4 linked regions of the Drosophila melanogaster genome follow. The protein of the gene in region 3 interacts with the protein of the main gene of each other region in a pairwise test. Each region holds a gene or a part of one and is shown on either strand. Other genes may lie near its edges.

Evidence for each region.
Region 1: the proteins of Roe1 (region 3) and CG5853 interact in a two-hybrid assay, tested with the Drosophila melanogaster proteins (one large-scale study listed by BioGRID).
Region 2: the proteins of Roe1 (region 3) and CG10311 interact in a two-hybrid assay, tested with the Drosophila melanogaster proteins (one large-scale study listed by BioGRID).
Region 4: the proteins of Roe1 (region 3) and CG31775 interact in a two-hybrid assay, tested with the Drosophila melanogaster proteins (one large-scale study listed by BioGRID).

Annotation. Positions count from the first base shown.
Region 1 is NT_033779.5:9,941,613-9,949,498, forward strand, and holds the start of CG5853 (uncharacterized protein), read right to left. Parts: upstream 6,037-7,886; 5' UTR 5,654-6,036; intron 3,070-5,653; 5' UTR 3,044-3,069; coding exon 2,683-3,043; intron 1,447-2,682; exon of another isoform or gene 1,442-1,446; coding exon 1,271-1,441; exon of another isoform or gene 1,206-1,270; coding exon 1,069-1,205; exon of another isoform or gene 1,009-1,068; coding exon 863-1,008; exon of another isoform or gene 796-862; coding exon 557-795; exon of another isoform or gene 499-556; coding exon 88-498; exon of another isoform or gene 28-87; coding exon 1-27.
Region 2 is NT_033777.3:16,350,988-16,358,557, forward strand, and holds the start of CG10311 (uncharacterized protein), read right to left. Parts: upstream 6,029-7,570; 5' UTR 5,813-6,028; intron 1,373-5,812; 5' UTR 1,345-1,372; coding exon 1,102-1,344; intron 1,045-1,101; coding exon 891-1,044; intron 244-890; coding exon 143-243; 3' UTR 1-142. Other genes in the region: CG17931 (uncharacterized protein), read right to left, coding at 7,555-7,570.
Region 3 is NT_033778.4:13,552,555-13,556,144, reverse strand, and holds Roe1 (Roe1), read right to left. Parts: upstream 2,069-3,590; 5' UTR 1,965-2,068; coding exon 1,879-1,964; intron 1,759-1,878; coding exon 1,464-1,758; intron 1,119-1,463; coding exon 858-1,118; 3' UTR 539-857; downstream 1-538. Other genes in the region: link, read right to left, coding at 1-157. UniProt on the Drosophila melanogaster protein: Essential component of the PAM complex, a complex required for the translocation of transit peptide-containing proteins from the inner membrane into the mitochondrial matrix in an ATP-dependent manner.
Region 4 is NT_033779.5:14,736,563-14,739,738, forward strand, and holds CG31775 (uncharacterized protein), read right to left. Parts: upstream 1,208-3,176; 5' UTR 1,169-1,207; coding exon 1,157-1,168; intron 1,090-1,156; coding exon 832-1,089; 3' UTR 528-831; downstream 1-527. Other genes in the region: CG31835 (uncharacterized protein), read left to right, coding at 1-438.

The sequences.
Region 1 (7,886 bases), on a different chromosome or scaffold from region 3:
TGATCAATATGGAGATGTCCATGGGGACTGGTCAAATGATATTCAAATAAGTTAATATGTCTACGCAATCGACTCAAGTGAGCTTACAAGTCAGAACAGTCAACATCATCGTGGTCATGGAATGGTGCATCAGTATGGCAAACAGAAGATTGTAGTTGTCGAGCACTCGTGATCCTTCACGTCCCGTGTGATCGTACATAGCTCCGAACAGAGCGGCCACTGCTATGTTGACTCCGATCCTCAAGTGCGTCATGGTCGTGTCTCGTTTGGCTTTGATGAAACCTCGTCGCAAAAGCACAGAGCACTGGTTTGAGTAGCTGGTGTCCTCCAGGGATCGGCTTTTGGTTTTCTTTGGTATGGGATACTTTCTCATCAAGACCTCAGCGCGCAACACCGCACTGGGATTATGGAACCAAGTCAGGCAGCTTCCGTTCTCAGTGGCGAGCTTAAGGGTGTCGACCTTGTCGTATCCATACTCTCCGCAAGCGAGCTCGATAACTGGAGCAATAAGGATTGTATTAGTGTAAATTCACTCAGAGATCTGTGCTGGACTCACTGTAATCCGCTGGATTGTGGTACATCGGACAGGGCAGATCCACCGACTGCAGGAACGGCACCAATTTCTGGGTGCTGCCCTGGTAGACGCAGTTGCCAGCGGACAGGACGTAGACCTGATCGAAGATCTGGAACAACTTGGCCGTCGGCTGATGGATGGTGCAAATAATGGTGCGTCCTTGGCTGGTCAACTTCTTGAGCAGCTCCAGGACCTTTGTGCACGAGCTACTGTCCAAGCCACTGAAAGAAAGAAAAGCAAGATGTAAACATTCCTCAGTTTGTTAAAAATGGATATATTGGCTCATACGTTGTGGGCTCGTCCAGGAACATCACAGTGGGATTATTGATCAACTCCATGGCAATGGATAGCCTCTTCTTCTGACCACCGGACAGGCGCATTGTAAGGGTCTGATCGTGATTGTACAGACCAAGGAGCAGCAGAATGTCCTCGATCTGCAAGGGTAAATCCGCGATTTATGACTATGATCTTTAAGTGAAGATCACCCCACTCACCCTGCTCTCCTTCTCCTCGTAGCTGACTGTCTGACCCAGTTTAAGATCGGCGGCTATATGCATATTCTCGTTTACCGTCAGCAGCGGCTGCAGACGATCATCCTGGGTGATGTAGCAGGACATCCGACGGAAGGAAGCTGCAGGGAGGGATTACCATGAATTCTGGATATATTGAATAAATTAAGTGAGGTCATATACTAACGCAAATCACGTCGCCGACCATTGAGCAAGATGGAGCCATCCACTCCGGTCGTCTTGAAACCTGAAAGGGCATCTAGCAAAGTGGACTTTCCTGCACCCGAAGGTCCCATGATGGCAATCAGCTGGCTGCCTGGGAACTTTCCGCACACATTGTGCAAGATTTCCTTGGATCCTAAGAAATTGCGAAATTACTTAAATGCCATCGTAAAATATGATCATAAAAACTTAATAGACATTCAGTGTGTTTTTTTTTTATACGGTCGTCGGTATCAAGGTTCAGGGAACCAATGGAGAACCCATGAGTACGCGTACGAGCGACGATATTCATGAATCATCTGCAGGCTATAACTTGGCTGAATTAAACGGCTATTGAGGTAAGATCTCGAGTAAATCTACATTAATCCACTTCAGTGAATAACCTGTTAACTACACAACTCGAAAACAATTCAAATCAGTAAACAATTCTAGGTGATATACGTATCAAGCCATAGAAAAGAGTTGCAAATATAGGGAAAAAGGGTTTAGCTTAATTAACTCAATCTTTCACAGTAATCGTATTGTTATGTTAGCAATATTACACATTTTAGCACTTCTAGTCACCAATTTAACATTCCGATAGCAATGGCCATATATCCACCTACCGAAAGGTTGATTAATTAATTACCGCCACGGGTTGAAAATTTGTGCAGTTCTAATCAAGTTACCAGGGGCTAAACAATGTCGATATCTTTTGAACTTTGAAATTAGCAAAATGTTCTAAAGCCAAACCCATCATATCGAATTACAAATGCTCTACTAACTATCGTATTGGCAAGTTATTTCTTATCATTTTATGGACTCGACGGAAAGGGAATTTATGAATGACTAACTGGCATTGAATATATACAACCGGGAAGGGGGTGTGATCGGAATAAGCGGAGTGATCGGCTCTTATCTAATCAATGGAAAACCAAGTTGGTTAAAGAACTAGCAAGCAAGTGTTTGGCAAGTGATTGGTATGTGGAGGCACTGCCGAAAAGAATAACCTTGTAGTAAACTTTGTTCGGATGTAATTATCTTATGGCACTCGTACTTAAGAAACATTTGAAATATAGTATCTGAAGGATTTGCTTTATCTGAGTATATCTGTATCCCTTAGAATACTATTAATGAAAAGACTTTCTAGCATATGTTTTATCTTCTATTATAACAGTAGTTTTGTCTAGTCATAATTTAGATATTATTTATGAGACTATATTGGTAGGATATAAAGAATTGAAGGTCATTCCCGTTCAAAGAGTAGCCGCTGATCGTAAAACATATATAAATGCCCAGCTAATTTTAAGTTCTCCGCTGCCCCAATCTTATCGAGCCATATCTTAGATCATGCGATCGCAATGGTTAGTTAGCGACAACTCGCTTCTTGTAGCTCACCTCGATTGAAGCCCAATTTGACGGTGAGGGACAGCTCCTTGAACTCCATGTCCACAGGCTCGCGAGCTGGCAGATTATTGAGGGCATCGGTGTCGAAGTGCACCTCCTCCTCCACGACAGGTTCCAGTGGCGGCTGCTTGCTGGGCTCATTCCCATTGGTATAGTTCACCTGTGGCGGTGTGGGTATGGGTGGTGGCGTAACACTGGACTGGGCATTCCGCCATCCGCCACTGTTGCCAACTGGCACTGTGGTGCTGTTATAGACGCGACTGGAGGTCACCTCCCCGATCTCGATGCCCAGACCGAGGCCGGCCACTCCGTTGTCGCTGCCGAACAAGAACTGCTCGCGCGGTGTCGCCATTCTGGGATTCTAGGATAGCCTGTCAACTGTAATATAATAAAAATATATATTTCGGATTCACTGAAAGTTTTCTATTACATCCTAAAAGCTTAACTCTATATGAAACTCTTCTCTTGATGATTAGCCAGTTGGATCTTTGTCTGCAGATTTGATGGATTGTGCAAGGTGCGTGGCTAAAAGTGGGAATCAGTTGGCAACCAGTTGCTAGCCGATACAAAATATTTAGCTTAGCTTATTGAAACGGGTTCCACGCCAGCTGAATGTGCACTTTGATCGAAAGCTGGGGGAGATCGATCAACCTTTGTCGTCTAACCCCGTCATATTCACATGGATTATTCACGATTGCACGGTGAGATTGTTAATTTTAAAGGGCATGTAAAGGGAGGAGGATCGATGGGGATAGCAACTAATCCAGCGTAGATGATGCTTCCGATTAACCAAAGACATGGTGTCGAATTGGATGGATGTCGAAACCATGCAATTATCATCCACCGTTCGCATTAAGTGCCAGTTTACATAAGCGAAATGTAGCACGCAGTTTACTCCACATTTCGCACTGCTGCAAAAGACAATTAAATGCGAGTACATTTAATGCACAGATTTGCGAAAAGATCAAGGTACAATTGCTCAGACGGAGGCGGAGGCAAACAATAAAGCGGCACAATTGAGTGGAAATGGAATGATGGAATGGCGATGGTGAGAGTGCCGTCGTATATGCACATCTGCCATTGATCCGTCCATCCAAGCGATCCACTCGATTCTCTAGATCCGATCCCATCCCATCTGATCCGATCCGATCCGAGCTGATCAAAACAAAAGCATTGTTCCAAGCGGCGAGTTAACAACAAATGTAATAAATGCAATAAATGTAGCTGCAGCTACATATTGATGGGCTACAGCTTATCAAAGTGGGATTGAAATGAAAATTGTTTAAATCAATTATTCATAATTAACTGTGTGGATGCAATCCTTTTGCTTGGAAAGTAGATCCAGATATGGCATGGCTGTAGTTACACCAATGTATAGATTGTATCTTATAGGTTGCGAATCTGCGCTTCTGAAAGTTCATATTATAATCAATCTTATACCTGTGACGAATGTCTAAATAATATAGCCCGAGCAGTCTTATCAGGAGCTGGGCAAATTCCTCGACCGGGAGATTTCCCTTTCCGTTTTCGAGTAGTTGGGAAAGGTAGGGGCTTCGCCAGTGGGAACTGCTCCGCAGCCATGCACCTAATTAAGTTATAACACAGTTACCTATGGTCAATGCCCCATATTTCCCGATGATGACCTGGATGTCACGAAGGGAGTGACATTGATGGCTCTTAATCGGCTGGCTGTACATCATTATTGACTGATGCCGGAGTAGATCCCACCGTGGTCACGTTTTGCCGGGCTTGCTATTTTCTTGGACTCCTTTGTTCGAGCCCGGCTTTACATTTCGTGTTTGCCTGCGACTTTCGGAGACTTAGATCGGCCTTTAACACCACAGCACTTATGTGCACACATCACACATACGTACATATGTATACCATGTATATCATTTGTGTGCTGATGCTGCGTTGAAACATTGTTTTGTATAGCTTGTATACCTTGCAAACCGGTTCACCGGATCCCCTTCTCCGCCAGATTTTATGCGGCAGTGCAGCTGGGAGGAGATGGAAACGAAAGCAGCAGCTGTTTGATTCAAGATCGGAATATCGGGGTAATGGGGAAACGGGAGCAAATCCCTACCGATTCAAACCCATTCGATGACTCGGAACAGATTTCTGTTTATGCATTTCTGATAATGCGTGATAATTCGGAAATAACAACCGCATCCCATCTTTGGTCTTCGATTATTGTCATATTGATTTTGAGTGCGATTGCCGCATTCTGTGACAAAACTTTGTGTCAACTAATCGATTTTATTCATTTCACATGTTACAAATCTGGAGCTCAGAGCGCGAAAAGCGAACTTGGCAGTTTCGGATTGGGGGTCATCCCAATCGGATGTGACCCACAAGTGATCAGGTCTCGAGTCGCCAAAAAGATACATTTCACTTGTATCTATTCCATGGCATATATCGTAGCATGAATCATTGAGTCATTTAACACTTGCCTTCGTGCGATTCGAATGAGTTTTGTGTGTTAACAAAGACTGGCGTTTATATCTAAATTCACTGATAAGCTCTTGGCCAATAAATTTCTGTCTTAAAAACGTCAATTCATTTTACTGCGACTGGCGAAGTAGGTATTACATCAATACTCCACTTATTACTGAAATCTTTGAATATGTTTTTTTTTATAAATTTGCAGTCACTTAGATGAAACTCTAATTTCCAAAATTTAACTCTTTTTAAATTCATAAATTTAATACGCTGCTCTAGTTTTTTTTTCAGCCACTTATTGTTTCTAGTAAATTTATAAAATATGTCTTGCTTTTGTTGGCTCACTCGTATTGCGGTTGTCACAGATTAATTGATAGTGCGTTTTATTTAAAACTTATCACATTAATTACACCAATAATTTTCATTTTTTATACATTAATTTTTGTATCCTTTTCTTTGGATTCACTTCATCCCCTTGCATGAGCACAGCTGTGTGTGTGCACTCAAGTGGAGTCCTTACCCTTAAGAGAGTCAGGATTAACGCACTCTGGAAGGGATTTGCAGGGAAACTACTACTTCGCACGGACTTAACTCGCGATCCGCACAACCGAGTAACAGCTTCTTCGAAGCGACGTGCGCGACTGGCGTCCAGTCAACAAACAGTGATCCCAGCTAGCTCTGGTGCTGCAGCGCCGAATGGCTGTATGACGGTAGCAGTTCCCGTTCCCATACCCATACCCATACCAATACCCATTCCCGATCCCAAACCGATCGTCCAGAAGTCGGAGAATCGCTTCGTCGGCCCAGCTGACGACTCACTGGCCACAAAGAACACGATCGGCTGTCTCAGCGGGTGTGTGTCGTGTATCTCAGCTCCCCAAGTGGATGTGGGTGTGGATGTGTGTGGAGCGCGGGCTTTATCGAAGGCGTTCAGTGGTGGCAGCTCTACATCTATGGCGGGAAATAAATCAACTAGTATGCATTTAAATTCAGTAAATAACTTTATTTAACAAATCTTTTGATTATCAATCAATCACAAACCTGTTTTTAAAGTAGTTATTACTTAAGCTACTGCAGCTACTGAAGTGGTAATCCATTTATAAATAAGATGAATCATCTTTCAGTTTCTGATCTTTGTACATTGAACTACAAGCTACAATCAAACATCTTGTATCTGCTATTAATTGGATTGGGTATCTTAAGAGTTAGATATAGAATACAATACAAAACCAGTTTTTTAGTTTATCATTTTTGTTATTGCAAAAGTCTAAGTATAAACAATGTGCAAATATTTAAGAAAGCTTCTTGTAAACTATTAAACGTAACGGGGGAGTAAAATTAAATTAAAATGAATTAGTAATTATGCCATATTTTATTAAATTTTCCTGCAGGTGAAAATAGCTAGATTCGCAGCACTGAATCCAAAACCAAGATCGTTCGGCAGTCGCTGCTCGCGTATATTTCGCATTGGTTATTAGTGTTTAGCCGTTGTTATATTGTCGTTTTCCTTCGCTGATAAGAGCCGCTCACGCACACCAACGCGCACGGAGCACACACACACGCACATAGGTATTCTCACCTGGCTGATTGAGTTTTGGCTTTTTGGCGGCACACGATCACGATCTCGGCCCGATTGCTCCGGTTGACAACGGATCGTGCTTTGGGGTCACAAGTCCACCTATCGAATTTCTTTGACACTCCATAATTGGCGTATACGTAATACGTAATAAACATTCCCGCGTCGCTTTCTTCATTTCGGTTTCATTCTGAAACAAAAGCGAGCTCTATTCCACGGACTGAATATTATCGGGCCAGTTAACAATGCCTATATATGTTCACAATGTGCCCGCCAATAGGTTGGTTTGCTTGTTAAGGCTCTTTGTGCCGCTCGTGAATCAGAGTTACTTCACCGTTTAGCTTCCTTGTTCGGTGCTCATCGATCCCTTGTGGGTTAATTAACATTCGCGGAGCAAGGTTATCGCCACTCATTTCCATTTCCACGTGAATTTATGGAACAAAGAGATTGGATTTTGAATTCGAAGAGGTATCCGTATAATACTTTGATCATATCATATAATACTTTAATCATATATATAAAAGAAACACTAAACTTCAATTTATTCAAGACTAGATTTTGCAACCAATGTTTGATATCCAGTTTTGTAATAATTAAGCTAAATACTGCAATTTGATGTGCATAATATACTTAATTTTGCATTCAACTAGAATGTATTTTATAACACTACAATAAACTTCAACTAAACTTAGCGGACTTTTAACTGCATTATTAAATAATACTATAACAATACTATACCGACAATCTGTATGTTTTCACTTTCCATTTCGGAACTCCAAACTATTCCACTTTTCATTCCCCAGCAATTCAACTTCATTGATAAGTGCTTATTTAGTTATTATCGTATTAATTACACCATCAAACGAACCCCGATCCCACTCTACTAGTATATGATTCAATCCTCCGGCGGACTTTGTCCCTCCTCGTCGCGTACTAAACAATAGCTGATTGATATAGTAAGTAATGTATTGTTTTGTATTTTCCTAAGCTAATAATGGAGAACGGAGCAAAGTGTAACAAATGTAGAAAACGTCATGACTTTATCAAGTGCCACTGGTGACCAATGATCACCCAGCTGGCTGGGCATGAACTTTGGTCTAAGCTGGTTCCGGGGATTGAAAGAGTAGCGAGTAACAAGCCCGATGACATGGAGAAGTGCGATCCGGCACTATAAATA
Region 2 (7,570 bases), on a different chromosome or scaffold from region 3:
GGGCTGGCTCGCCTCAACTAAATTATAATTATTAGTTAGACATAATCACTAAAAACGAACATAGGAAGCTAGGATGAAGATGTGTGGGTGGTGGATTCAGCTTCTTGAATGCAATTTCTGATGAATAGTGCTCCTGGAGATTCTAGCGACGGTACGGCTGCTTGTTGTAACGACCGCGCTCGTTCTCCTCGGACAGGTTGGCGTATTCACTATAGACCACGCACCAGCAATAGGTCATAATCGCTGAAAGATGGAGGAGGAACATTGGGTTAGGGCATGTGCGCGCAAAAGAGTGCTGTCATTTTATATTCTACATGAATTGCATCCGATTTTACACGATGTAATGTAAATTGACTTTTAACTCGTATGTGGTTCATTTTCGGTAAGCACTTAATTTTTATCAAATTTAATATGCAAATTTGTAAAACTTGAAAAATATCATTTTTCAAAAGTAAAAAAAAAGCGAGGAATATATGTATAAACCTGAAGCATTCACAATGTGATTCGGTTCTTTAACTTTTATACCGCTGAATTAATACAATTAAATTTGTTTGATTCATTTAATGAGCTTATTTAACAATCGTATAGCTTTCCCAATAAACTCCTATCAAAGTTCTGCAGCTGACATTTCTACAAATGGCCTCAACAAGCCACTTTGCGCCTCATTTGCTTGCACCACCCGGCAAGTTACCTCCAAAATCCTCTAGTCTGCGGCGCCGGGGCACTTCTGTTTTCAGCACACGGGCAATCATGGCATGATAAATGCGTCTATAAATTAAAAACGGCTCGCAATAACCGTCATCCGGTGCTAAAAACCGCACATGGAGAAGTAGCAAGACCCCCCCCCCCCCCTCACCCATTTTTCACCAACCAAGAGGGAGTGCACTTACCGCAGACAATTAGGCCGAAGATCAGCCAGAGGACTCCCGTCAGCACGTAGCCGTCGATGAAGAAGACGATGCCCGTGTAGATGACGGAGATCAGCAGACCGATGGCAATCATAATGCCGAGGACCACCCATGGAACCATCAGGTAGTGGTTCCGCTGGAACATAGATAGATTTTTATTGTATGCATTTAATTAAATTAGCTGAGTACACACCTTCAGGGCACCAATGATCATGAGCAGCGATATCAAGATCGTCATGCACAAATTGATGACTAGAATTATCTTAACAATGTCATTGGGGATGAAGTCAAAGATTATCGTCTTGAAGTGCACCCGCGTCGTGAAGATCACCACGATGGTGATGATCGACAGGACTATCGCCAGTATGCCCGAGATAACGGAGCCATTCCGGGTCGATTGGCACAGACAGCACGAATTTAACAGTGGCTTCGGCATTTTGGCAAATCTATATTGTGATTACCAGCTGAAAATATTAAGAAACACAATCATCAATTTCAAGTACCATTTTGAACACATATAACTTAAAAGAATAAAAACACAGCAATAGAATAGTGAGTAAGTTCTCGATATACTCATGTAAAACTAGACAAAGATATGTTTTGTAACTTAATTGAAATATCCGAACTATTGCAAAAGTAAAGACAACCAATACTACAACATTAAAATTCCACAGTTTTACCAGTTGTGACGTCAAGCACACAAAAAAAATAAATGTTTATTAAACAAATGTGCTTTAAAAATAGAAGAAACAAAGAAAACAATGGACAGAAAGCGTGAAATACTTGAAAGACGTAAGCTTTATATTTATGGAAGCTCTAAAATAAATCAACGACACGAATGACTAATTTAATCGTACTATTCCTTCAGGGATTCGAGCTGGAATGGCAGTAGAGATGGCGAGCTTGGGAAAGTTTATATCATCGGTGCATGCGCACACGATCGGCGGAACTGGTACGAGTATACATATGTGGGTTGCACCCATCTATCCAGATAGCGAAATAGCGCCACCGGGCATTGTCATTAAATTAATCAAACGCTCAACGTGCCTCGGACCGGCTGCAGATTGATGTGGCGCATGTTGGCACTTGCAAATGCCGCTGCAGCTGGTTTGCATCCATTGGATGCGGGCACTTGTGTATCCATGTGATATATCTGATGTATACATGTGGCTCACGGCGGTCTTGGATGAGATAATCACATGCCAAAATATCTTGTCTTACATGGAAACGCTTTGAGTCATTATAGAAAGGCTGGCTGGGAAATGCCTTGGGCAAACAACTAAAGTTTAGCGAACAGATACAGATACATTTACAGATACCATTTGTATGTAAAGCCCATTTCCGCTGAGTTTCACACCTCAAACGACCTACAACAACACAGTGAAGAGATGCGAACAATCTGGGCAACAGAAGTGTTATACAAATTGCGCAATTATCAGGGGCGGCGGTGAGGGTGCGTGCCGAAGATCACATCACATTCTTTAAATTATAGCAGTTCAAAAACTTTTTTTTATAGTTTCGTCACAAACTGGCGGCGGGGCTCATAAACCGGACATATGGCGCATTAACATGCCGTTTACACGCGTTTCGCACGGGTTTTTAACTCAGACGATCTCCACGTTTGCGTCTGTTTATAAATGGTACCTCAATTGGATACAGATCCGAGCAGAAAGCATTTGTCTGGTTTCTACAACTCAGACAAACGTCTTGGGTTACTTTCTGCGGCAATGCGATATCGCTGTTTTGACCTGGTTAGAAGAACAAACCCAAGTAAAGCTAAGATACTTTAGACCTCGGCGAACAATTAGAGACTTCTCCATATCAGTGGAAAGGGGTAGACAACCTCGATATGGAAGCGATCAGCCCACTCATTCGTTTAATGGCGTTAATATTCGCAATGAACTCATCTAATGCTGACGTTGACTTCCGCTCGCCTCACACAAAGTGGTTTTACTATATGTATATATAGGCGTGACTCGCAGCTTTTGGAGTCAAGTTCAAGCCATGGCGTGGGCGACTCTTTCCGAGGAATTCGTGCCTCCACTTGACGTAGGCTTGGAGTCTTGGAAAGTCTTCTGACTTGACAAGTGCAACTGGGCAGTTGGACGTGCACTACGTAGCTGGATGGAGTTGCTTTGGGTCTGAAGTGTGATGGTGTGGGAGTAAAAGTGTGGCGGATGCTGCCGGTTTTGTGAAAGGTAAAGTTTGTCGACAAACAAATTAAAAGGCATTGGGAATGCACTTACTCAAGCATGAATTTTTGACGTTTTTCATGGAATACATCAATATTTTATATTTATTTTAGAAAGTGGCTTTAGAAAATGCAAGCCAAGAAAAGGAAAACAAAAAACATTTACCGCAGGCTGCAAAATTTGTGGGTCAGACCACGAAATAGTAGAATGGTCTCAGAACGTAGTCATATTGTAATTATTGTTATTACTTTATATGAGATAATAACTTTCAATAAAAATTTATAATACAAATTATTTTAACTACAAGTATTTACAATAAAATTCAAATTATAAAAACACAAGTAATCATTTATCGTATCCCATTAACCATAAGCTGACCCATTTGTCTAGTAAAGCGAAGTGAAATAATGCTCATATAAATCATTTCAATTGCCATTGCCTTTATGCTTGTGGAAAATGGGTTCGATCCACAAGTAAATGCTAATTTTCGTGTGCAATGAGCACGTGTCCAGCTTTTAAATATGTATATCTGACAGATACTTTTTTGTGTGCGGCTATTATCTGTTGTCGTGGGCCGCAAAACGGAGCCAAAGCCAATTATTCTCGGCTTTGGCTGTTGTCGACTTTATCGCCATTCGAACTTTTGTGACCCTGCTGCCCGCTGAAGCCCGCAAATCCACTCGGCAATTAGTTTGCGCTTCAACGCGTAATTAAGTTTGACATTTTTCTGCGCTACTTTTTGCGCCAGGCACAAAAGTTATCGAAAAGACAAAGTCATTTTGTATGTGGCTGGAAATTGCTCAATCTACAATCTTCGACAGAAAGTGGGAGCTCACTTGAGTGGCCGGGTCTGTTTTTTTTTTTCATTTATTTAGGTCCATTTGAAACCGGTAGAAATCGTTCTACCAAATTTGACAGGTCCAAAGCACGCCGCATTTTTGTTTTTTTTTTGTTTTTTTTATTTCTGCTATTCCAGCTCCCACTTGACTTTTTGTCTTTGATTTTTTGTCAAATTGGCTTTTTTCCGCGGCTTTTTAAACATTACTCGACTTGCCATATAAATCAATTAAAACCGTTGCAGCTGCAAACTCAATTGCAGCCTTTGAAGTTTCCGTTTGCCGAACAAGATTTTGTAATTACTAGTGGCAGCGGCGTCTTTTAGACGCAAGATACAAATGTGCGCGCATCCATGAGATACTTTTCGTTCTGTCGACACTACATAGTTTTCAGGGTCAATGAAGCCGCGACATTGGACGCGATCAAAAACTCAATTTTCGGGGATCTTTCGGATTTTGGGCTTTTCGTTTTCCCAGCCAAACGAAAGTTAACTCATAAACAGATCGCCCATCAAAATGATTCATATATAAAAACACGAAACACTTATTAATAGATCACAAGGTCGCGAGCAACTAGAAATCTAGAGAGTCGACAAAAGCGGTGGAACTTTTGGAACAGCTCTCACAATCTCTGATCAGTGGCTGTCTGGGGTCAGGAATGGGACTCCACCTTATGATTTTCAACACCTGTTCGTCGAGAATTCTACGCCCATGTGCCATCTCGTATGGCGTAGGTGTGCGAACGCCTTGGCTTGTTCTGCCAGAATATTTTTTGTCAAATAAAATTTGGTGGCGTTATCTGTTGCCTTGTAAATTGAGTAACCTTCACATTGTTCATTTTTCACTGCTTCCAAGTGGATGCGCGTCACTGAACTTTGCCAAATGTGGATGGATTAGAAACAGTTTTGTCTTGAAGACCGTTTATTTCCCTTTATAATTACTTCCCAGGAGGAGTGGCCACTTAAGATTCAATGAACGACGCTTTCATTTGGGGCTTTGATGTGATTTTTATGGTTCGCGACTGAGGCGAATAGCCAAAATGTGGCTCAGTTGAAATGTATGCCAGGCGCGCATATTACGTATACGCCCCCGCACACCTGAACACTGGGCTGGATGGCCCACTTATCCCTAAACTCGCAACGTGTTCAACTTGAGGTCCCCAAAAAGGCAAAGAAGAAGGCTTTCAGGTTGTCGCCGTTCGCAGACTTTCAATGTCAGTTCGCAATTCTGACATCACCGAGTGCATCGACTATATAGATCGCTATGCCTGCAGCAAACAGACTGACTCTGTTTTCATTAAGATGCATTCATTTTCTCTGCCAATTTGGGTCAGCGATCAAACAGTGGCATTATTGTTTTCCAATTATTTATACGCTGCGGTTTTCTCAATTTTACCGCAGCTTTTGCGGGCGCTCAGAAAAGTAAAAAAGTCAGGGGGTTTAGCTATCAGCGATCATTTGAATATTGAAATTACTGGACGGCCAGCCAGCAGCGACAGCTTAATGAAATTGAATATATTTTGTATAAATAAGCACATACAACCGCAAGGCAGACGAGCGCGCCTCAAGTCGGGTAACTGGCTGTATAGTATAGATAGGTATATGAGTATATGGCTACTGGGGGCTACCTACTCCTCCCACTCCTCACGCCGCCCTTCCCCGAGAAACACTTCTGTTTGATCACACATATGCATATGTATCCACCTCCGGGGGCCAGCTGCTCGCCTGTTATTTCAATTTCGAGGCGATCGTTTATCACTCGATTTGCATGCGACGGCGATCGATTGATCTCCCGATCCGCCCAATCGGCTGCCAACTGCCTGCATTTCTCCGCTGATAATGTCAGTCTCCTGGCAGCCAGCCATATATTCACTTACACTTTCTAATTTATTTTTGATTTGATGGTGCAGCACTGCTAAATGCAGTCGAGGGAAATCGATTTGATTCCGCTGATTCGGCTGCCTCCTAACTAATTATTCTCATATATTTGATATTTGCCTCCTCCAAGTGCGTAGCGTTTCGAGGCGATTTGGATCCGACGACTTGCGCGCGATTTCGATGTGAGTGCGACGGGTTTCACGGAGCGACTGAAAACGCGGGCTGCTGCCGCCAACGTGAGAGCCGACTCGCGATCGCGATTTTTCACATCTGCGAGCGTTAGTTGATTTTTCCGCTCGTTCTCGGCTAGCTGGCTGAAAAGTTCTCAAAACTTGGACGCTGTTTTTAGTTAAGACAGCTTTTGCGTGACCGGCAAGAAGCTTTCTCCGAGGCAGAAACAGCAGAAACCAGTTAGGCGTTTCGATGGCCCACGTTGCTCTGCTGTTCCGGCATGAAGATATCAAGCACTTGGTCAAACAATGGTGAGGCGATCTTCTACAGCGCATTGCACTAGCCAAGTCAAACAAATCAGTGGACGTTCTCATTACATCCGTGTTGTTTTCCTCGTTGAAGGAACTCGAGATTTCAGCCGAAGATACATCAGCACGCCATGACCCCATCTGCCTTTATTGGCCATGAATAAGACCGTGCACTGTGGCACAATGTATGAAGATCTATTCGAAAACAGATAGGTATTCCAAAAGATAAAAGTCACAGTATTTAAGTTTCAATGACTTAGTTTACCAGTCTTGCGCAAAATTCGTTGTTGTTTCTTGATATCTTTTCTTATACATAAATAAAATAAAATTAAACTAAAACTGAAATTTTATTTAGCAGCATGTTTTTTGTGTGCATCTGCCAGTCGTTAGTGGCCAGGTTTTTGGTCATTTATTCTGTAAAAGGTAAATGCTAGCAATCGACTTATTGGCATCTAGGCGATAGTTTTGTGGGGCAAGCTTTGGCATGCAGCTACTTTCATATTTATCAAATCGTGCCATTTACAAATATCCATATTCCATTGTATGCAAATTTCAGCATGACTCGAGGCAAATTAAATACCTCATTAGGTCATGCTTAAATCAGACCAGGAAGTTTAGTAGGTCGTATCCAGCGCCCTATTCATACTCCGATTTTAAAGATCTAAGGCTTATATTTAACATTCTTGAGCTATACTTATGGGGATTGCTCTGGGATTATCAATCTTTATATCTCTCTCTTCGGCGACCATATTTGCTAGAAAAGGGATTCATTAGTTAAAGTTAATTTTCGGTAGCAATCGACCGTTATCGAGTGCCATAATCTATATATATATTTTCGTCAAACACAATAACACATAATTGAGTCTTTCTGTCGGCTGCATATTATGTTTTATTTGAAAATTTATATATATACATTACAGTAAATAATTTAGTCAGGTAGGTGGAGAAATAAAATGTAAGATTACTTAATTATCGTACAGCAGCACTGCAAACGAAAATGAACAAAAACCGGAACAGAATCGAAGTCCTTGGGTGGCACTTGCTATTGCTATTGCTATGTCGCGTGCTGTACAGCCCGGTAATATCTATGCGTAGTTGTATACAATTCTCGTGAATTATGTATGTTGCTTCATGTACATTCTAACCAACTATCCTAGGTCCTTGGGCGAATCGGGGTCTTGGCTGACGAACGACTGACTATAAGCCTAACCTGTCCGGAAATGCAACCGGGAGTCCAGATCTCTATCAAGCCAGTGGGTTGACTATTTGCTTGTGCCC
Region 3 (3,590 bases):
TCTGCAGCTTGGAGTCCATTCTAGGTGGGAATTTTCTATTGATGTCCACTATAACAGCGCTGTCTTGTCCATAAAAACGAGGCAGCATCGACACTCTAGCCTGGATGCACTGCACCATGGCCAAGGACCAGAGAAAACGCATTAGCACACCAATCATACCGTTCACTTCAAATGTTTAAGGACAACTAACCAACGAGATAGTTCAAAACCGTTTGAAGTAGACTTTCAACTCTGGCGCAAATCTCGTTTTAGGGAACCCACCATCTGTGCTACCTCTGAATTCATGGGAACGTGCTTGGAAGCCTACCTGCTGGGTCATAGAAAATCACGCATTTCCATTGAATTTTCCACCTACGCGACGAGCAGGAATGCGATTACGCTTCGCTACCTGGTTTTTGTTAACAAAAGAAATGGTTTTTCATGAGGGATTCGAATTTCAAGGGCTAAGGAAAACGGGGAAAATCAAAGGAAACTAAAAAGAGACCTAGATAAACAGAGTCTCCTCCAGATGAGGATGAAATACAAATTTCCGTGGTATATTTCAACAAACTAAAACATGTTTTATTATCGTAATTAAACCTTAAAGTGGAACACTCGATGGCCACGCGTATGGTACAAATTGTGGCCATCAAATCCAGTCACAGATCTCTTAGAAACTAGGAGGAATTCTAAATTCGCAAGCTTTGCCCGAAGGATGCGTTTGTGGGATAGGTTGTATTTACACAGGGTTTACGTACATGAATTTTGCAGCGGAAAACAAATTGCAAACAATTGAGAGACACACGCCATGTAAATTGGTTTAGGGGGGGGGGGGGAGTACTGGGAATTTTACATGCCTCTGGGCAGCCGCATGGCTATCAACACTTCGACACGCCCACCAAGGCCGGACGTATGCAACGCTCGTGCAGTTTGTAGCCCAGCTTGGTCACCTCCACCACGGTGTTGGGCTCGACGGTCTTGTCCTCCTTCTGGAACAGCGCCTCGTGCTGATTGGGGTCGAACTTCTGGTTGATGGGATCCAGTGGCTCCAGTCCGTGTCGCTTGAACACCTGCAGCAGCGAGGCGCGCGTCATGGTGAGGCCCTCGTACAGGTTCTTCAAATCAGCATTGCCGCTGAGCTGCAATAATTAAGATCATTAGTAAGGGTAGCTTTAAGAATGTTAATGCAAAACGATTAAACTATCTATTAAGTCTAAAATGGCTAACAAGTTATCCAAATATCTCAATTTAAAATACCCCAACAAATCTATATGTACAATTAGATGTATGTAATGCAATCGGGTTTGTTATCTCTCAGATAGAAATGGAAAGATCGGGAAAATACACCTTAAAATGCTATGAAGATTTTCAAGTATTGGCAACAAATAATTACGAAATTCTTATCTCAACATATGCAACTTCATTGCGAGTCTGAATCCTTAAGATACCTTAAACCTTAAATCTTAAGATAAGATAGTTTGTACCTTATCCTTGGGCACCGCCTGTGTGGCATGTCCCAGTGTGTCCGCCACCTCGAGCAGATCCTTGCAGAAGCTCTGGATGCCAAAGATCTTGGCGTCGCTGATCTGTTTGTTCAGTCGGTTCCTCATGTTTTCGCTGTCGGCTAGCGAACGCTTGTATTTGTCCATTAGCTCGGCATTCTGCTCCTTGGCGGCGGCCAGTTCCTTGGTGAGTTTCTCAACTTCTGGCGACGATTCGGTGGCCTTCTGCTCTGTCGCTTCTTCCGGCTGTTTCTCTGTGCTGTACAAACGCAGGGCACTGGTTGTGTGGTAGACGATTGGGAGTGAGACGGGAGGCAATGTTAGAATTACATGCGAAACGACAAACGTGCGCCCTCATTACGTCACAGATAAGAGGAAGCAATGCAACCGGAATTACCTCATATTTTGAGAAGTGACCGATGACCTCAGGTGGACGAGTCGCCGGCCAAACATCTGCAGTGGTAAGGCTGCCTTTGCTGACATTATGCTTAGCTTTTTCGTACGTTAAATAAACTTATTCCGCTTTTGACGTAAAATCGTCGGCTTCACAGCTCTCTCAACAATCGATGTGTGTTCGATAGTAATTGTTTATCGATTCCACCCGGTGTTGCCGCTTAGTGTGACCGCAGCGCAGCTGTAGAATGCAACAGTCAAGTCGGATGTAGAATAGATGTAAGCTCGGATTCATTCATGTAAAAAATTATTTACATTAAATCCAAAGAAAATCTCTTTATATAACTAAAATACTTAAAAATAAATTAAGAAGGAAATCGGTGCAAGTAATAAATAAATATTTAAATAGCATCAATATTACCAAAATGAAATCAAAAATGTATGAAATTTTACCACTTTACACACTTAAACCCAAAAATGCAATAAACAAACAATTATTATTAATAAAGAAATCCCTACTTGATCAGTAGTTCCTGACACCCCTGAGAATTCACCTTGGTCATAAATACAAATTTAAAGCGACAAAATATTTCTTATATAAAATGGACAAACGGAATATGCAAATGGCATATAAAAATGTGAAAATGTGTATCGACAATATTGGCAGGCGCAGGTCCACTTAAAATCGATCGGTGTTAATGCAAAAATGGGCCTATATTCTTGGCGCTACCTTCGGACATATATTATTAAGAGTGCGCCACCGGCTATTAATCCACGCATAGCTTATAAATCGATCTCATACCAGATCGGCCACGCCCCGGGGCCGCCAAAATATGGACCGCTCGAAAAAAGTTGCTCTGGAAATGTAAATATCGGAAGGCTCTTAATGAATTCAAAGTACGAGTGTACGAGGCGGGCATAGCATCTATTCAACAACTTACCTCTCCGATCGCACTGCCAAGTATTACATATGCGCATGCATTGTATATATTTTGGAAAACGAAGCACGAGAAGTCACTTAGTTGGATCTCGCCACCGGAACAACGAGGTTGTCGTCTCAAAACTCGGTTTTTTTTTCATACTTTTCCAATAAAAAAAAACAACAAAAAATGCGTGAGGAGGATCTCCAATTGGCCCTCCAAATGGTGGCAAGTACCTCGGTGTCCAGTTCTCTGGAGGAGGAAAATGATGGAGCGGCAGCCACGTCGCCGGGCAACTCACCCAAGCCATTGAGAAGAGTCCTGGATTTGAGTGAGAGGCGTAAACAATTCAGGTGGGTGGACTAAGAAAGCTTCACAGGAAGGGAAATAAAGAGGTAAACATAGTAAACATGTAGTTTAGACTAGGTTTTATACAAAAACTACAGCTAAAGCTAGTTTCAACAGTGTCTATAGTAGATTTCCTATTAAAGAAAGATTCCAAGTGCTATTAATAGCTATCTGTGCAATAAAAACACATTAAAAAACAATATATTAAATGATATTCTTAGATCTAATTAAAGTTTTTCACACAATGCCATTTCTCCGCCATATAGTTGTATATTGTTTATAAGCGGTTCTAAAAATAAACAACAAAAATGTTTGTTTGAGAGGTTAAAAGCACTCAAAAACACGTACAAATTAGGCTAAAAATAAAAATGGTGTTTTCACGTGCCTGACTAATTTGCAATGCCAAGTACACTCCTTTGTCGACATTAATTATGAATGACGAATGCTC
Region 4 (3,176 bases), on a different chromosome or scaffold from region 3:
TCAGAGTCCCTGGCGTTAGGCTTGAGTTCCGGGGGGCCATTCGAACACGACGACGACAGATATGTTCTACTTCAGTGGATTGCACAGCAAAAAGTGCAGTGCCACGATACGGACGAATCTCAAAGGCTGCGGCGAACCCTCTTCGTTGAGCACTTGCTGATTTCCATGCTGTGCTGCGAGGAGTTGCAGTTGCCGGATGGAGACAGACGAATACGGGAAGGAAATGGGGAGAGTGATCTAGACCAGGAAAACCATAGCAGTCTGGTCAAGGTCATGTCAGTGATGTCACTGCCGTGGACAGGAGTTTGGCAGACCAACCAGCTAGACGGATCGGAGGGGGAAGGCGAGATACGGGCAGCCAAAAAAGATGGAGTCGATCTGGACAAGGTGCAGATCGAGGAGCACAAAAGGGTGGCTGCTGAGGAGGCCATTGATTAGGATACTCGAAATTGTATCTGTTTTTTCAATCATGTTGAATCCGCTTTTTAGTTGCGTTACATATTTCAAAGAAAAACAAAATTTTTGTGAAAATTTGGCTTATATTTATAATATGGCTTTTATATTTTGGCTTTTATTTATATTTACAATGTTTTAAGTAAAACCATTTGAACATCTGAAAGAGAAGATATTTCCCGTTGTCCCTTATGTTAAGTGTATTTATTTCTGGGCACTATTTAATAAATATAAATGAATAATAAATATAAATTTATTTTCATAAAACTCATAAATTTTCGAGAACGATAAAGTAAAAAATTCCAATTGTTTTTTTATCATAAAGGTGTCATATTTTTATTGAGGTATCTGCGTTAAGACGGTGCTATGAATTGGTTTTTACCAGCCTTGTTGCTGTTGCTGCTGCTGATCACCGAATCCACCTCCGAATCCACCTCCAAATCCTCCTTGCTGCTGCTGCTGCTGATCACCGAATCCACCTCCGAATCCACCGCCAAATCCTCCTTGCTGCTGCTGCTGATCACCAAATCCACCTCCAAATCCTCCTTGCTGCTGCTGCTGCTGATCACCGAATCCACCGCCGAATCCAAACTGAGGTAGGGCAGCGGCCGCGGCGAATAGGGCAATGAAGAGGATCTGTAACAATATTAAAATCAACTTAGTTCTTAAAGGTTTTTCTTTGAAGCGTATATGTAAAACGTACCAAAAACTTCATGGTGCTGATACTTCGGTTAGTCTTGCTAATGTGAATAAAATTTTTGGACGCCTCCGATCTTTTATACTCTCCTGCAATCTCATCATGTCGTCACGCGCCGAAGTATTATCAATGTTCTGACAAAATCAAGTACAATTAACCCAACAAAAATACGAAAAAAATTTCCAGACGTCTGGGAAATTAATATTTGAGCACTGTATCAATGCCTATGCTCAACGGGGGGAACCCTTCAACATCAATCTTATCTGGGAAGTCGAGCCTAATCTAATAAGTCCGCAACAGTTGCTAAGAAAAACTAAGGGCGACTTAGAAGAAGACGTTGTTTGAGATTACTTTAGATCATTTATGTTCCGTTTTCACGCATCACAAACGTGTTACGGCAACAAATGTTCTTGTTTGCTTTTCTGGGTTATCATTAGACTTTCGAAATGAGGAGGGATAATTAAGTATGAAATCCTTGTAATCATGGATTAATTTTTTATACATACGTATAATTATGTTATGTCTTTGAATTTTAGCGCTTAACAGGTTAGACCACTATAGTCGCATTCCTCGATTATCAGATACCCATTTCTTAGCTAATAGAAGAACTAAGATATTTACAAGACAAGACTAGATGAAATCAATGAAGAATCTAGAGTGTTGTTGGCACAGGTTCTGAAAGAATTGGAACTATTTAGAGGTCTGAATCTCATTCAGTTCATACAGACAGGCTTACAGACAGATGGCCAAACGAATACGGCTAGATAGACTCCGCTGGTGATGCTGGTGAAGAATATATATATTCTGTATAGGTAAAGGTTCGGCAACGCCTTCTTCGAACTCCCACAGACTTTTTAAAGAATTTGGTATACTCAATTACTCCACAAGTACCGTCTATAAAAACATAGAAATTATGTGTCTTAAAAAATTGTATTTATTAAACTAATAAGACTAGTTTATTTCTTTACATCCTTTTTTTTAAAGAAATATTATTTGTATTTTTTTTCGCTGTGTTTGGTTACATTCAAAAACATTTAAAATTTTCCAAACCAATTGTACTTTTTTTGAGAGCAAATTCAGCCTAAAAGAATACTGTTAAGCTTGTGAATTTAAATGCAGCGCTAAAAAGTCTTCGCCGTTTCTTATACTTTTTTTTTAGTGGCAATTGAAAAGCTTTTAATCGGTATATAGCTAATCAGCTCCAAAATAAGCAAAACAAATTAACAAGAAGAAAGATCAGGCTAAAGGTCCTCAACCCCTGATCAGAAATCAGCTCTGTTAATGCAGTGCTAGAATTTTGCTACCTCATCGCAGACGCTTAATCTAATAATCACAGCTTGGGGTATATAGATTTCGATAGGAAATAATAAGCAAAAAATAAGAAAATTTTGTTTTTATTACTTTGTTTTGGTGCAAATCGCTCCATTCGGCTTCCACCTGCTATATGTTTATTAAACATCTTATTTTTAAGAGTGTACTGAATCCACCACAATGGTCGCCGAAAGGGGGTGGTGCAAGGGCGGAGGTGCATGAAGCCGGAAAACTTCTATTACAACTGCCGCGCACCAAGTCGGGAAAATTAAAAAGAAGAGAGCGAGATGGAGATTCAAACCGAGACAGAGACAGAAGAGTAACTAATGGCACAACAGCCACATTTAGAACCGATGTGTTCAACGCAATACCTACTAAAATAGCAATTTTTGTGGATTTTTTGGGTTTTGAATTTTATGTGTACACACACTGAAGCTGTATTACATTTGGACATATGTATAATTATAAATTCAAGCTAAATTTTCAGCTCAAGGGAAGTTTAATTTTCGATAACTGCATTCTGATTTGAGCAAATATAAAATATCCTTTGAGTTATCTTCTACTGTCAAAAGATTTAGATAAAAGATTTAGTTCCTTATCAATAATGGGGGCTTATTTCTCGTTTCATATAGGTTTGGAAAACAAATTGCATTATCGTTATTTGTCACGTAGATAGCTGTGCTCACCGGACAAAATAGTACAGTGCATGTTTATT